Oryza sativa Japonica Group: one gene and its partners. The main gene of each other region encodes a partner of the protein of the gene in region 2 in a complex. Links are inferred from orthologs where the notes say so. Each region holds a gene or a part of one and is shown on either strand. Other genes may lie near its edges.

Region 1 (4,113 bases), about 3.1 Mb from region 2:
TTATTTGTGGATTTCTTTGGCATCGATATTGAAAATGATTTAGAGATGTAATCTTGCATTTTCATGTGATCTTTTTTTTTTCAGAACTTCATGTGATCATAGTCATACGTATTTGTCCTCCTACACAATGTTAATCACTTTTCATTCTTAGGCGAAATACAAAAGACTTACTCCCTCGTTTTCTAGATAGTTAACGTTTAAAACAAGTTTCGGCCAATTAGTATTAAGTTTATAAAATTTAATTAGTCTATATTATGGGCATAAAACATTGATACTACCAAGTCTTTTGTTTTTAAACTAAGCATTTCAAAGACTATTGATAGTTAAAGTTTCAAAAGTAAGATCCAAATAGGTAAAGTTAACTATAGGACACTCAAAATTTGTGTTTGTTGATAGAAATCATAAAAACGTGTCACGGCTGAAAGACACTCTTAAAAAACTGATAATTTGCTAAATGACACTTTCGGCTCAATTGAAAAGAAAAGTTCTTAAAAAAGACAAGGATGCCCCCACGGTCAAAAGATTTTGAACTGAGACTAGGGTGAAGATAAAATATCACGTATACTAGTGATGTACTTGGGGTGATGCTAAATTTGGAGTTGCATAATTTCTAAATTCGTACTTTAACGTTATGTTTGAAGCATGTGATTCTAGGGGCATTCTTGTCTTTCTCAAGAATTTATCTTTTTAATTGAGTCGATATTGTTCTCTAACAAATTACTAGTATTTTTAGATGTCTTTCATTTGTGAATGTTTTTTCGATGTCTATCAGCAAATTACACGAAATTTAGATGTTTTGTAGTAAAATTTGCCATCCAAATATTGTCCGGCCTAACCATCAAATATTCACGACCAAATGGTGTATTAAATTATCTGAATACACTTATTATGGGTGATTATGCTCTTGATGAACTTCATCACGGTGTAGTTGAAATAACGGAACTGAAAAATGAATTCTATAAATTATCAAAAGGGCCATCAAGAATTATTCCAGAGGCAGCCCAATATAACATTGCCGGCCCAGATAAGTCAGTGGTTCATCTGGACCAAAACCCAACGAGCTAGTCTAACCTCGGTATGGGCCTTCAACTCCAAGGCTGCAGATCACCCACTGGACCATAACTGGGCCCAGCACACAGAAACAAATCGAATTCGCACCAGTCTGGGCCGCAAGGCCCGGCCCATAAACCAATCGGATCCCACAACACTGGGCCGAGAAGATTGGCCCAACATGAGCTGCTTCCAACATATCCTCGGTCCAGCCGTCTCTTCTCCCAAGTTCTGAAGTGCTCTCTCTCTCTCTCTCTCGGTGTTTCCCCTTCGGCCTTCTCGTCCGCCCCTTCTCTCCTCCACCATCCGCCTCACCGGCGTACGGCTCCGACGAGATGGCCGCCCCGCTCCGGCGGAGCCTCCCCTCCCTGGGGCGCACGCTCCTCTCGCCGTCCCCCGCGCCCGCGCGGATGCTCTCCGCGGCGGCGTCCGACGCCCTCGTCGAGATCAAGCCAGGCGAGATCGGCATGGTCTCCGGCATCCCCGAGGAGCACCTCCGCCGCAAGGTGCGGTGCTTCGCTGACCTTACCTCTGATTTATGTAGTGGCGATAGATTGGCTAGCCCTCGCGGATCCGTGTGGGAATCGCTCGAGATGTCCAGGTTTGGTGGGTTGTTTTGGTCGTTACTCGTGTTTAGGGATAGAGGCATAGAGCCTGGAGGCGTCGGGTCGTGAACTCGTCGTACGGACTACAGTGCTATCGCTAGTAGACGTTCGAATCGTGGAGTGGATAGAAATGCGAATTTGGTGATGATGTTTTACGCTTGTGTGGTTTGAACTGCGTTTAGAACTTGGGAGGAATGTGCTGCTCTCCAGGTTGGGTTCTCCCACTTTAGATTATGTTAGTGGAGGGCTGGAGGCAACAGAGTTTGATCAAATTATCCTGATTTGGTTTATGTACTGTGAATGACTGAATGTATATAGGTGTATGTTCTTACCTTTCAAATTGTTTGTGATTAGAGTTGACAGTATTGGTGTTAGAGAACTGTACATACCAGAGTTTAGATGATGCTAGGATGCTTATTATTTATCCATTTTCTTGGTGTACATCAAACTTAAAAATACATTTGATAGAACTAACTGCATACAAAGAAAGATGAAATTGCTAGCAATGCTTAGCTATTGAATTTAGATAACTTGTTGGACTATGAACTAATGTCTGTTTCATACCATTTCATAGTTCTTGTAATTACCTCAAAATCCATGTAGAGGCCTACTTGTAGAGTGGTAGTTTCTTGTTCTGACTTCTGAGGAACAGAGCTTCCATGAAATAGTTTTCTCTACAACATAATCTCGTTAATACGAATATTGTTTGATGATCAATTCTTCTGTTGTTTCAAAGATCCGTCTTAACTTCAAAGAGCTTAGAAGCATCTTATGATATGGCCCAATGCTGATAGCACCACTTCAGTCACATTTTTCATGGTATTATCAACCTTATGTTTGTCTGCAGAGAGAGGATGCCTACACATCAATAGATCTTATGTTTTTGCAGATTTATTATACAGAGTGAGCCCTAGAAAATATTTTGATTGTGATCTATGTTCTTGTAGATCATTAGACTGTTAACAAGTGGTCTCCCCCACCTTTTAGTGTTTATACAGTAAACGGCCTTCTAAATGGCCTACGACAGGATTGTGTTATTCAGATAGGTTTAAATATTTATACTGTAAAGAAAATATGATTTTTGTTGCTGCCACTTTTGTTCTTTTAAGACTCACTGTATGCTTTTCAACTACCTAGCTGGGAAGACATGATCAACTTATCCTTGTGTATTTGCAGGTTGTAATATATTCACCCGCTAGGACTGCATCTCAGCAGGGTTCAGGCAAAGTCGGGAGGTGGAAAATCAACTTTGTGTCAACCCAAAAGTATGTTTCCAGTTTTGTTTTATTGGTTATTGTTGATTCATTTTCATGAATTATTTACCTCAAACCCTGTGTTGCTGTTTGGTGAACTGCCTCAATAATATATCAAATGAAAACAAATAGTCTCATATTAAAACTTGATTTACATTCATAACAGAAGAATTCATTGACGATTGAAGTCTGTTTCTTTTTTTCCTTTAACGTGAGATTACCCCCCCTTTTTTTTGTACAATGAAAGCCTTGCAACTGATGCATTTGACCTCTCATTGAGGTGGTCACCTTGGTTTGGTCAAACAGTGTGTACTTAGTCTATTTCATTTCTTTTATGTCTCATGCATTTACTTCATTTAGCTTTATGTATCACCTCCTTATTATATAGCATTCTAGCATACAATTAGATATTACTATTTCAGTTGCTGCCGCTTTTTCCCCTTCTAACATTTGTGTGAATAATAGGTGGGAGAACCCATTAATGGGATGGACATCTACTGGAGATCCATATGCTAATGTTGGTGAAGCAGGGCTTACGTTTGACAGTGCAGATTCAGCAAAGGCATTTGCTGAAAAGCATGGATGGGATTATGTGGTGAGTTCTTACTATCTGTCTATCCATTCCTGATACTTAACATCAGGTTTAAAAAATAAGGCTATACTTATTTCTGAAATATTAGGATATATTGGAGCAGGATTTAATTGCATATTCTCTCTTGAATGTATAGGATCATTTGATTCTTAATTCTTTACAATTTAGAGGTTAAAGTAAGGAATGTTCTTTTATAGTGTTCTGAATTCTGATGGTCAGGTTTCTGAAGGAAATTTGGTCCATTTATGGGTGCATGGTCTTTTATTTTCAGATTGCCTTGCATCCAATGTGCCATATGATTTAATGTTATTTGCCTTAAATCTTTGTCTTCAGAATCACTTGTCGATGTTTCAATTTTGAAAAATAAAATCTCTAAAAATCCTTCGTATAACTCAAGGAGTAAATCTGTTGTTCCCGATTTTTGTTGTACTTGTAATTTTAGTTAGGACACATGGAACTTTGATTTTATTTCTGTGGCAAACTAGAGCTTTTTCAAACAATTTGTAACTCGTATATTATTTGCGTATAAAATATGTTCTCGACAGTAGGAATGCTTTTGGGGGGCTATGGTGCAGTATTCATTGGCATACCACGAGCCTTTATATTTGTTGGA
Region 2 (4,276 bases):
CAAGGACCAGCAGAAGAAGGTGGTCATGGCGCTCCCCGTCGTCGTCGGCGCGCTCGCCAGCGTCGTCTTCGTCGTGTTCCCGTCCACCCGCCACGGGATCGGCTACCCGCCGGCGAAGCCCGCCACGGCGTCGCTGGCGTCGCTGTAGGCGGCGAGCCCGATTAGTCGATTTGCATTGCCATGCAGGCATGTGCTTCCTTTTTATGGGTTGTGTTTTTTTAAATATTTGCACGTGTGCATATGTGTTCTGTCTGATGCTTTTGTTCGCATTTGTTCATCTGTCTGTTTGTGACCTAATAAGGCCAAGAGCTAGTTTGATCTCGTTGATTTGCCTCATCTTTGTGCAGTTTATGACTTGTTATATTCCATCGCAATGGATGAATCCGTGGGGAACTATATGATAAACTTGGCAAACATTTATGAGTTTTTCATCTGAATTGAATGTCCGCACGATTATATTAGCGAAAATGTTCAGTAAGAACTCTATGAATGCTGTAGTTAGCATTCGTGCTTAGAGCATGAAAAATGGTAGTTCGATCTTGTTGATTTGCCTCATATTGCGCAGTTCATGACTTATAGGGATGGTTTGGTTTGGGGGTCTAAATTAGCCTTACCAATATTTGACAATTTTAATAGCGTTTAGTGTCTATTTGGTTTGGAGTCAAATTTTGGCATGCCTAAGAAAATAAGTCATTTAAATAGTTAATTTAGGCTATTTTGACTTCAATCCAAACACAACTTTGCCTTACCAAAATTATGCATGCCAAAATTTGCTAAAATTTAGCATTGACAAAAATTGGTAAGGCTAATTTAGGCCACAAAACAAACCAGCCTATATTGATGTGGAAATCTTTAATTGAAATGGATGAATCTGTGGGAAAGCAGATGATAAATTTGGCAAACATATATAAATTCATCTGAATATTGCAAGGTAGTTAGCATGCATGCTTACTAGAGCATGACAAAATGGTAGCACCAAGAATAAAATTATTTGCAACGAGGTCCGTCCTCGCCGCCGGCGGCCGGTGAGCTCGAACACGCGGTGGCCCCGGAGCTCCGGCAGTTTTGTCTGCTCCGACGAGACGATCTGGCCGGTGGAGACGTTCGGGACGCCGTGGCGCCTGTGGCCGACCAACGCCGGGGTTGGAAACCGGACGTAGCCGGTGAGGCGGTGACGTCACCCGTTGAGGCCCAACTAATAATATGGGCCGGAAGTTCGCCACAGCACCGTCCCGGCCCAACTAGCATTACGGGCCTCATATGGGCCAATACCAAACTACGGCAGGCCGCACCGTCACGGCCCAACTAATAATACGGGCTGGAAGTTCCCCACAACGGCCCAACTAGTATTATGGGCCAAGCTCCGCTCCGGCCCAATAGCTAGCACTCCAGGTCGGAGGGAGCAGCGCGTCCGTGTGTTGGCCTCACGCTCGCTGCCTCTCCTCTTGGCCCGGAGCTCACCCACGCACGCAGCCGTCTCGTCTCCCTTCTTCTCTCTCCTCTCCTCTCTTCTCCGGCACACCACACCCCAATCCTCCCCCGATCTCCCCAATCCGAGAGCTCCGGAGGAGCAGCGCGGAGGCGGAGATGGCGCTGCGGCGAGCGCTGCTCAGATCTGCCGAGATCTCCCCCGATCGCAAGGTCCGAATCCCCGCCCTTCTCCACTCTCCTCCTTCCCCCCCATCTCTCTCCGGTCTGGATCCCCCAACCACGAGGGGCGCGAACGCTGTTACCGCCTTTGCGAGAATCTGAGAGGAGTGCGCGTAGCGGGTTTGAGCTGTGGGAGGGTGGAGGAGGGTTTGCACCAGTCGATGTGTGTTGGTGGTGCGCGCATGGCGACGAATCTCTTCTTCTTCCGGGAGTAGAGGATAGGTCGAGGGGAGAGGAGTAACCGATGTAGAGCATGGAATGCCGATGGACAGTTAGGAGGGGCTCCATGTCCGTCTCTTTTGCATTTCGTATTAGTTCTGTAGGGATTTCTGGCTGTAAAGTGTTTACGACTTGATGCTTAGGATCGAGTTTCAGTTTGTTGCGGATGTGGTTTCTTGTTATGTCGTGGATACTCGGAGCATGCCGTAAATTGCTTGGATAGGCCATTCAAAATCTCATTTGTGAAAACCGAAAATGACCATGCAGTTGCAGACTAGTTACTACCTCTTTGTATTCGGTATTGCTGATGAAAACATGTGCTACACTCCTTTGCTTGATTGAAATAGAGAACAATAATTCAAAAGCTCGTTTTTGAACTGAAGATGACCATTCAGTTACAGGCTTGTTGCTACCTCTTTGTATTCAATATTGCTGATGAAAACATGTGCTGCACTCCTTTACTTGATTGAAACGCGAAACGATCTTTACTCTTTCTACTATATTAGTGTTTCCCTGATGCCCCGAGCGGAATACCAGTATTGTGGTTATCTTATTTCAATAGATTAAACAAACATGGTGCATTTATGAATATGCTACATTCTGTAGGGATATAAATGTGTTTGATATTGGTATTTCGTGGCTTCTCCTTTGGGTACAACTAAGAACACAACAAATGATACTTCACCTCAAAGTGATACTATCTTTTATGCCTTTCGTAGGCTTACTTAGTTTTTACTTTGCATATAAAACCACTACTACAAATAGGAAAATCGTATTGCAGATACTGAAAACCTGTCCTTTATCAGGACAGGTATGCTCTATGCTGCAATGAGATTATCAAAAACACCAACTTGCTGCCAACTGAGCATTTGATCTTTTCTCTTGTTACTTAGATACTTCTAAAATAATGCTCCAACATTGTAGGCACCTGCTGGGCTTATATATAATTCATGTTTCACTTATGGGCTGATATATTTGAACTTGATGTATTTATTTTGGTTTCTAAATCTGCAAAATTGTTCCCATTCTATTCGTTGATTTACCATTTACCTGCAGCAGCAAGTTTGAGTTGAAAGTAGAGATCCTTGTCACCATGTTCTAATTACTCTATTCTAGTTCACTTAACTAGTTAAAAACTGAAGGCAAGAGCATCAGAATTCTGTATTTCTGATCATTTCTTGATGTTCATGTTGTTCTTAATTTTGCTTCTTTCAACACTTGCTTGGATACTTAGTCAGCTTTCAAATGAAGATTACTTTAGTCTTTTGCTTTTGACAAGTATTGGCGTATTGTAGTAAAGTAACTACAAACTTTTTTTTGTCCTGAATCACATCTCATGGATCAAGCTGTGATAACAAATTGGTTTTTTTTTTCTTGTCAGGCTGCACTTGAGTACCTCCATTATCTATCGAGAGCACAGCCTACTCGTTCTCTAACAGGTGCTGGCCTTTATTCTGCTGGCAAATCATTCAGCACTCAGGCTGCTACTACATCAAGCACACCACAACCTCCACCACCACCTCCACCTCCGGAGAAGACTCACTTTGGTGACCTCAAAGATGAGGACCGCATTTTTACCAACCTCTATGGTCAGCATGACCCTTTCCTGAAAGGTGCAATGAAGAGGGGTGACTGGCATAGAACCAAGGATTTGGTGCTTAAAGGGGCAGACTGGATAGTGAATGAAATGAAGAAATCGGGACTTCGAGGGCGTGGAGGTGCAGGATTCCCTTCTGGGCTTAAATGGTCCTTCATGCCAAAGGTATCTGATGGACGCCCTTCTTATCTTGTTGTTAATGCTGATGAGAGTGAGCCAGGAACTTGCAAGGACAGAGAAATCATGCGTCATGACCCCCACAAGCTTCTGGAAGGCTGTTTGATTGCTGGAGTTGGGATGAGGGCATCGGCTGCTTACATCTACATTAGAGGTGAATATGTGAATGAGCGTCTCAACCTTTTGAAAGCTCGGGAGGAAGCATACGCAGCAGGTCTTCTTGGTAAGAATGCTTGTGGATCTGGTTATGACTTTGATGTGCATATACATTTTGGTGCTGGTGCCTACATTTGTGGTGAAGAGACTGCCCTACTGGAAAGTCTCGAAGGCAAGCAAGGTAAACCAAGGTTGAAGCCTCCTTTCCCTGCCAATGCTGGCCTATATGGCTGCCCCACAACTGTCACAAATGTTGAAACAGTGGCTGTGTCTCCAACAATTCTCAGGCGTGGTCCAGAATGGTTTGCAAGCTTTGGACGCAAGAATAACTCGGGAACTAAACTATTCTGTGTCTCAGGTCATGTGAACAAACCTTGCACTGTCGAGGAGGAAATGAGCATACCTCTTAAGGAATTGATTGAAAAGCACTGTGGAGGTGTGAGAGGAGGATGGGACAACCTGCTTGCAATTATTCCT
Region 3 (4,240 bases), on a different chromosome or scaffold from region 2:
TAGCCTTCGTCGAAGTCGTCGAGGTTGCGGTAGTCGTAGCGGTAGCCGAAGTCGTCGTACTCTACGATCTCCGTTGGTCGTGAGTCGACACCGGGGGAGCTGAGGTAGCCGTCCAACTGTTTCGTCGAAACCGTGCCGAGAGGCTGGAGTATGACACCGACTTCCCTAGAGCTAGACTGGATCGGGGCCAGGGCGGATCCCGCCTAGACCTACGGGGAGATGACGCTCTTGTGGTGAAAACGACAGCCAAATCGTTGAGGAGTTTCATCAGGATTGGCGGATAGGCTCTATTGTCTTCATCGGGTCGTGTTGGAGTAGATTGGATCTCGTCCGAGTGGTTTGGGGCCAACTCGGTTGAGATGATCTTGGGGTAGATCTCGGCCAAGTTTGGGGTACGAACGGGGCGGAAACCTGGTCTCTTCCCGACTGGTTCGAATCCGAGTCAAGAAGAGAAATCTTGCCGAAGTCGTTGGTGAAGAAGTTGAGGCTGCCGAACCGGAACGCCTGCCCGGGAGGGAAGACGAAGTCGTCGATGCCGGAGACGAAACCCATCGCACTAATCGGCGAAGAACTTGACGCTACCCCTATCTGGCGCGCCAATTGTCGAAACAAGATTTTGGCAATACTAAAAGGGGGTGGCTATCAAGCTGGAAAAGTGGATGGGTTGAGAAACAAAGAATTTTATACTGGTTCAGGCCTTCTTAACAAGAAGTAATACCCTACTCCTGTCCGGGGATTGATTTGCCGAGTGTATTATTGATCGTATGATCTGGGAGCAGATCGTGCCCTAAGAGGCACCTGGACCCCTCCTTATATAGGGGAAGGGGTCCGTATTATAAAATACAGTCCATATCCCTAACGGAATAGGTAGTTACAGATAAGATTCAATCTTAACCGACTAAGATCCCGGGTATTTCCTTAACATACAAGTTTGGAATTTAACCCAAGTCCCTTTAAAGATATTCTATCTATACATGGCACCCCATACCCAGTCGGATTATAAATGCCGTGTTGGTATGGGGTATCCATAATCTCCACAAAATTGGAATAATGTGACGGAAAAGTTGAAAGTTTGTGTGTAGGAAAGTTTTGATGTGATGGAAAAGTTGAAAGTTTGGAACTAAACTCGGCCTATAATATATAGGACGATTCATTTTGCTTGAAGATTGGTGATCTACCGGTATATTTCCTCCGTACTAAAATAAACAATCCAGTATGAAGTATGATATATCAGAATCCTATTGTTACGAAATCCGGACAGTAGATCGTTATAATTGCCCAACCAAAAAAAAAAAGATCGTTATAATTGCCAGTACACGAAGGAATTATTACTATTGGGCCGATTGGGTCAATAAGCCCATGAGAGCCCACTGGGCCGGTGCTGCTGACGTCACGCCGAGCTACTTACCTCCGCGAGCGGCCACAACTCCGCTCCCCTCCCCCCTCTTCGCCTGAGTCGAGTCGCCTCCCCCACCGCCGGCCAACCATGCTGCCGCCGGCCGCCCGCCTCGCGGCCCGCCGCCTCCTAGGGCTCGCGACCTCCTCCGCCTCGGAATCGGCCGCGGCGCGACGCTTGTCCCGTTCTCCGGTCAGTGCCCCCCTCCCCCTCCTCCAAATGCCTCTGTATCTCCTCGCTGTTCGTCGGCGGAGCTTTGCCGTCCTGATCTCTCCCTCCGGGGGCAACGTCTCGTTGCAGATCTCCTACGCCGCCGCGGGCTGCTCCTCCAGGCTGTTCTCCACGGCGCTTAACTACGTACGTGAGGCGCCTCCCCCTTCCCTCGGATCCACCCCCTACCCTCTTCCCTGATCTGTCTGTTTTGTCTGAGGATGATAATGAGTCGGATTTGTGGGTTTGCTTGTTGTGCAGCACCTCGATTCGCCGGAAAACAACCCCGACATGCCGTGGGAGTTCACGGAGGCCAACATGAAGAAGGTGCTGTTGTTCGTCTCGTTCATTCATTTCCCTGTGATTTATGTTTTGGATTGGAACAGTGGCTGGTTTTGGAGTAGTTGTGGCAGAATTTGTTCAGTTTTGTTTTCGGATGTTCAGAAATGGCTGTTAGGGTACCATTTTATTCAGGACTATTAGATAATAATATAATCTTACGTTGGAACTGGTTGCTGGTTATTTGAGAAGGGGAAACGTTATCTGTCATGTAAAACCTTTAGAAATGTGCAAATCTGCAAATGTCCAAATGTAATAGAGACGTGGGGTATAGTGTTCTATTCCTTTGACATGGGATTTAGGTTTTGTGAATACGGTTTATATCAATTGTATCAGCTATTTTGGTTATCTGGCCTAAAATCTCTATTTCAATAACTAATTCAGGTTAATGAGATATTGTCTCACTATCCAAGCAACTACAAGCAGTCTGGTATTATTCCAATGCTTGATCTTGCCCAGCAGCAGCATGGTGGATGGGTGCCAGTTGCAGCAATGAATGCTGTAAGTCCCTTTTTTATGAGCTTTCGATGATCAACTGTTTTCCGCCTTTAATGTGCTATATCCTGTTTTCAATACTTCAATTTTCAGAAAGTGATGTACCTCAACATTTGTTAGTTGTTACAACCCACGTTAGCTATAGTTATATTGGACTTGCTTAGCAGACATTCATAAATCAAAACCTTATTGCACTGGCCTTGTTTCTGTTCACTTCTTCGTCCTACTGAAGATGGGTGACACTAGGAAATTAGGAGCCTTAATAGTAAGAGGCATTGGAGAATGGGGGTTGGCAATCACAAAAGAAAAAGTTCTTGTCAGCATATCAGTTGACATATTTATATAATTATAATTACAATTGAGTTAATCTCCTCAGGACTAGGACTATTACAATAACATTGCTACTGGGAGTGTTATAGCTTATGTTACATTTTAGATATTTTGTACATAGACCCAACCACCATTCCACCACCACTGTGCTCACAAAAAGCATTTCTGACAATACTATTTTCATGTCTTGGACTTTCAGATTGCTAAGATCGTTGAAGTTGCACCAATCAGAGTATATGAAGTTGCTACATTTTACACAATGTTTAACCGGACTAAGGTATCTTTGCATGACTTAGTATTTTGTACTTGTTAATCCCTCCACTAGCATCTTTTCACCCTATTTTGCCATGTAGGTGGGTAAATATCACCTTTTGGTGTGTGGAACCACACCTTGCATGATTCGTGGTTCACGTGAAATTGAAGAAGCCTTGTTAGAACATCTTGGAGTTAAACGGAATGGTTTGTATTATTCACATAACTTATCCTATCAACTAAGAATAACACTTCCTGATTTGTTACCACAAACGGTCTTCGAGCATGTGTTTCTCTTGCTATCTCTGTGATAGCATTAACATTTTTCTTTCATTTGCAGAGGTGACCAGTGATGGTTTATTTTCTGTTGGAGAAATGGAGTGCATGGTAACTTCGAGATCTATAATTTTCTGTCATTTTGGATGCTTGCAAATAGGTGTTCTAGTTGAGTTAAGTGTTTAACTATAGCCAATAGGAATGGTCTGTAGGATTTTGTCAGTGAATGATTCAGTACTCTAATGAAAAAACATAAGTACAAGGCAACTTTTTATTCAGCTTTCTGTTATATGTTCACAGGGCTGCTGTGTGAATGCTCCCATGATTGCTGTGGCCGATTATTCTAAAGGTTCAGAGGGTTACACATACAACTATTATGTAAGTATACACATTGATGCATCCGATTATCTATTGTTGATGACTTATGCTAGTACACGCGGTGGAAATTTTAGTAGAAACATCACAGCATTAGTAAGAATTAGCAGCTGGTGCCCACTCGTGTTAGTTCATGTTTATGCACAAAATGAAACATTGTCAACTGAAGAATATAAACTTGCATGTTATAGGATGCTGGGCCCCTGGGTTTCTATACTTCTTAGCAGGCGTCTTTGGAGAAATAATGCTAACATAGCTACATTTTTTTGCTAAACTTCCATGCTATAGCAGTACTGTGGCACTGAAAGCACTAATGCCAACAGAGTAACAAAAGACGAGTGGATAAAACTTAACAAAACCTGCCTGCCTTTTGCTGAGAGAGGAAGAAAAGACTTATTTGTGTACTGTAACTGAGCATTTCCATTTCCCCTTTTCAGGAGGACCTCACTCCTAAACGAGTTGTTGAGATCGTCGAGATGCTGAAAAGAGGAGAAACCCCTCCTGTAAGCTTTGCTCTTGAACGAAATAATTCTTTTGATATTTCTAGCGACAAGTTTTACTCAGTTT

Evidence for each region. Proteins that work in one complex are often made in the same cells at the same time.
Region 1: the proteins of NADH dehydrogenase [ubiquinone] flavoprotein 1, mitochondrial (region 2) and NADH dehydrogenase [ubiquinone] iron-sulfur protein 4, mitochondrial are in contact, whole or in part, in a cryo-EM structure (PDB 8BED), measured with the Arabidopsis thaliana proteins. The link is inferred for Oryza sativa Japonica Group from reciprocal best matches to the Arabidopsis thaliana genes CI51 and FRO1. Residues at the interface, in NP_196470.1 of Arabidopsis thaliana: Gly131, Arg132, Pro133, Glu237, Arg247, Leu248, Pro250, Pro251, Tyr259, Gly260, Cys261; in NP_201560.1 of Arabidopsis thaliana: Tyr140, Ser141, Phe144, Trp146.
Region 3: the proteins of NADH dehydrogenase [ubiquinone] flavoprotein 1, mitochondrial (region 2) and NADH dehydrogenase [ubiquinone] flavoprotein 2, mitochondrial are in contact, whole or in part, in a cryo-EM structure (PDB 9F5X), measured with the Chlamydomonas reinhardtii proteins. The link is inferred for Oryza sativa Japonica Group from reciprocal best matches to the Arabidopsis thaliana genes CI51 and AT4G02580. Residues at the interface, in XP_001702590.1 of Chlamydomonas reinhardtii: Asp58, Glu59, Arg61, Phe63, Gln64, Asn65, Ile66, Tyr67, Arg69, His70, Met78, Ser79, Arg80, Gly81, Tyr84, Met85, Glu88, Ile89, Lys92, Trp96, Gln100, Tyr133, Glu142, Pro143, Gly144, Thr145, Cys146, Arg149, Glu150, Arg153; in XP_001698508.1 of Chlamydomonas reinhardtii: Thr42, Arg79, Tyr80, Pro81, Tyr84, Gln86, Ser87, Ile89, Ile90, Pro91, Asp94, Val95, Glu125, Val126, Phe129, Tyr130, Thr131, Met132, Phe133, Gly147, Thr148, Thr149, Pro150, Arg152, Leu153, Gln154, Glu184, Met185, Glu186, Cys187.

The regions. Positions count from the first base shown.
Region 1 is NC_089041.1:24,023,863-24,027,975, reverse strand, and holds the start of NADH dehydrogenase [ubiquinone] iron-sulfur protein 4, mitochondrial, read left to right. Parts: upstream 1-1,308; 5' UTR 1,309-1,385; coding exon 1,386-1,556; intron 1,557-2,831; coding exon 2,832-2,920; intron 2,921-3,373; coding exon 3,374-3,503; intron 3,504-4,113.
Region 2 is NC_089041.1:27,139,123-27,143,398, forward strand, and holds the start of NADH dehydrogenase [ubiquinone] flavoprotein 1, mitochondrial, read left to right. Parts: upstream 1-1,475; 5' UTR 1,476-1,587; coding exon 1,588-1,641; intron 1,642-3,250; coding exon 3,251-4,276. Other genes in the region: protein DMP2, read left to right, coding at 1-148. UniProt on the Arabidopsis thaliana protein: Core subunit of the mitochondrial membrane respiratory chain NADH dehydrogenase (Complex I) that is believed to belong to the minimal assembly required for catalysis. Complex I functions in the transfer of electrons from NADH to the respiratory chain.
Region 3 is NC_089039.1:25,329,360-25,333,599, forward strand, and holds the start of NADH dehydrogenase [ubiquinone] flavoprotein 2, mitochondrial, read left to right. Parts: upstream 1-1,435; 5' UTR 1,436-1,486; coding exon 1,487-1,588; intron 1,589-1,696; coding exon 1,697-1,753; intron 1,754-1,867; coding exon 1,868-1,933; intron 1,934-2,329; coding exon 2,330-2,446; intron 2,447-2,969; coding exon 2,970-3,047; intron 3,048-3,123; coding exon 3,124-3,229; intron 3,230-3,362; coding exon 3,363-3,409; intron 3,410-3,598; coding exon 3,599-3,676; intron 3,677-4,110; coding exon 4,111-4,176; intron 4,177-4,240. UniProt on the Arabidopsis thaliana protein: Core subunit of the mitochondrial membrane respiratory chain NADH dehydrogenase (Complex I) that is believed to belong to the minimal assembly required for catalysis. Complex I functions in the transfer of electrons from NADH to the respiratory chain.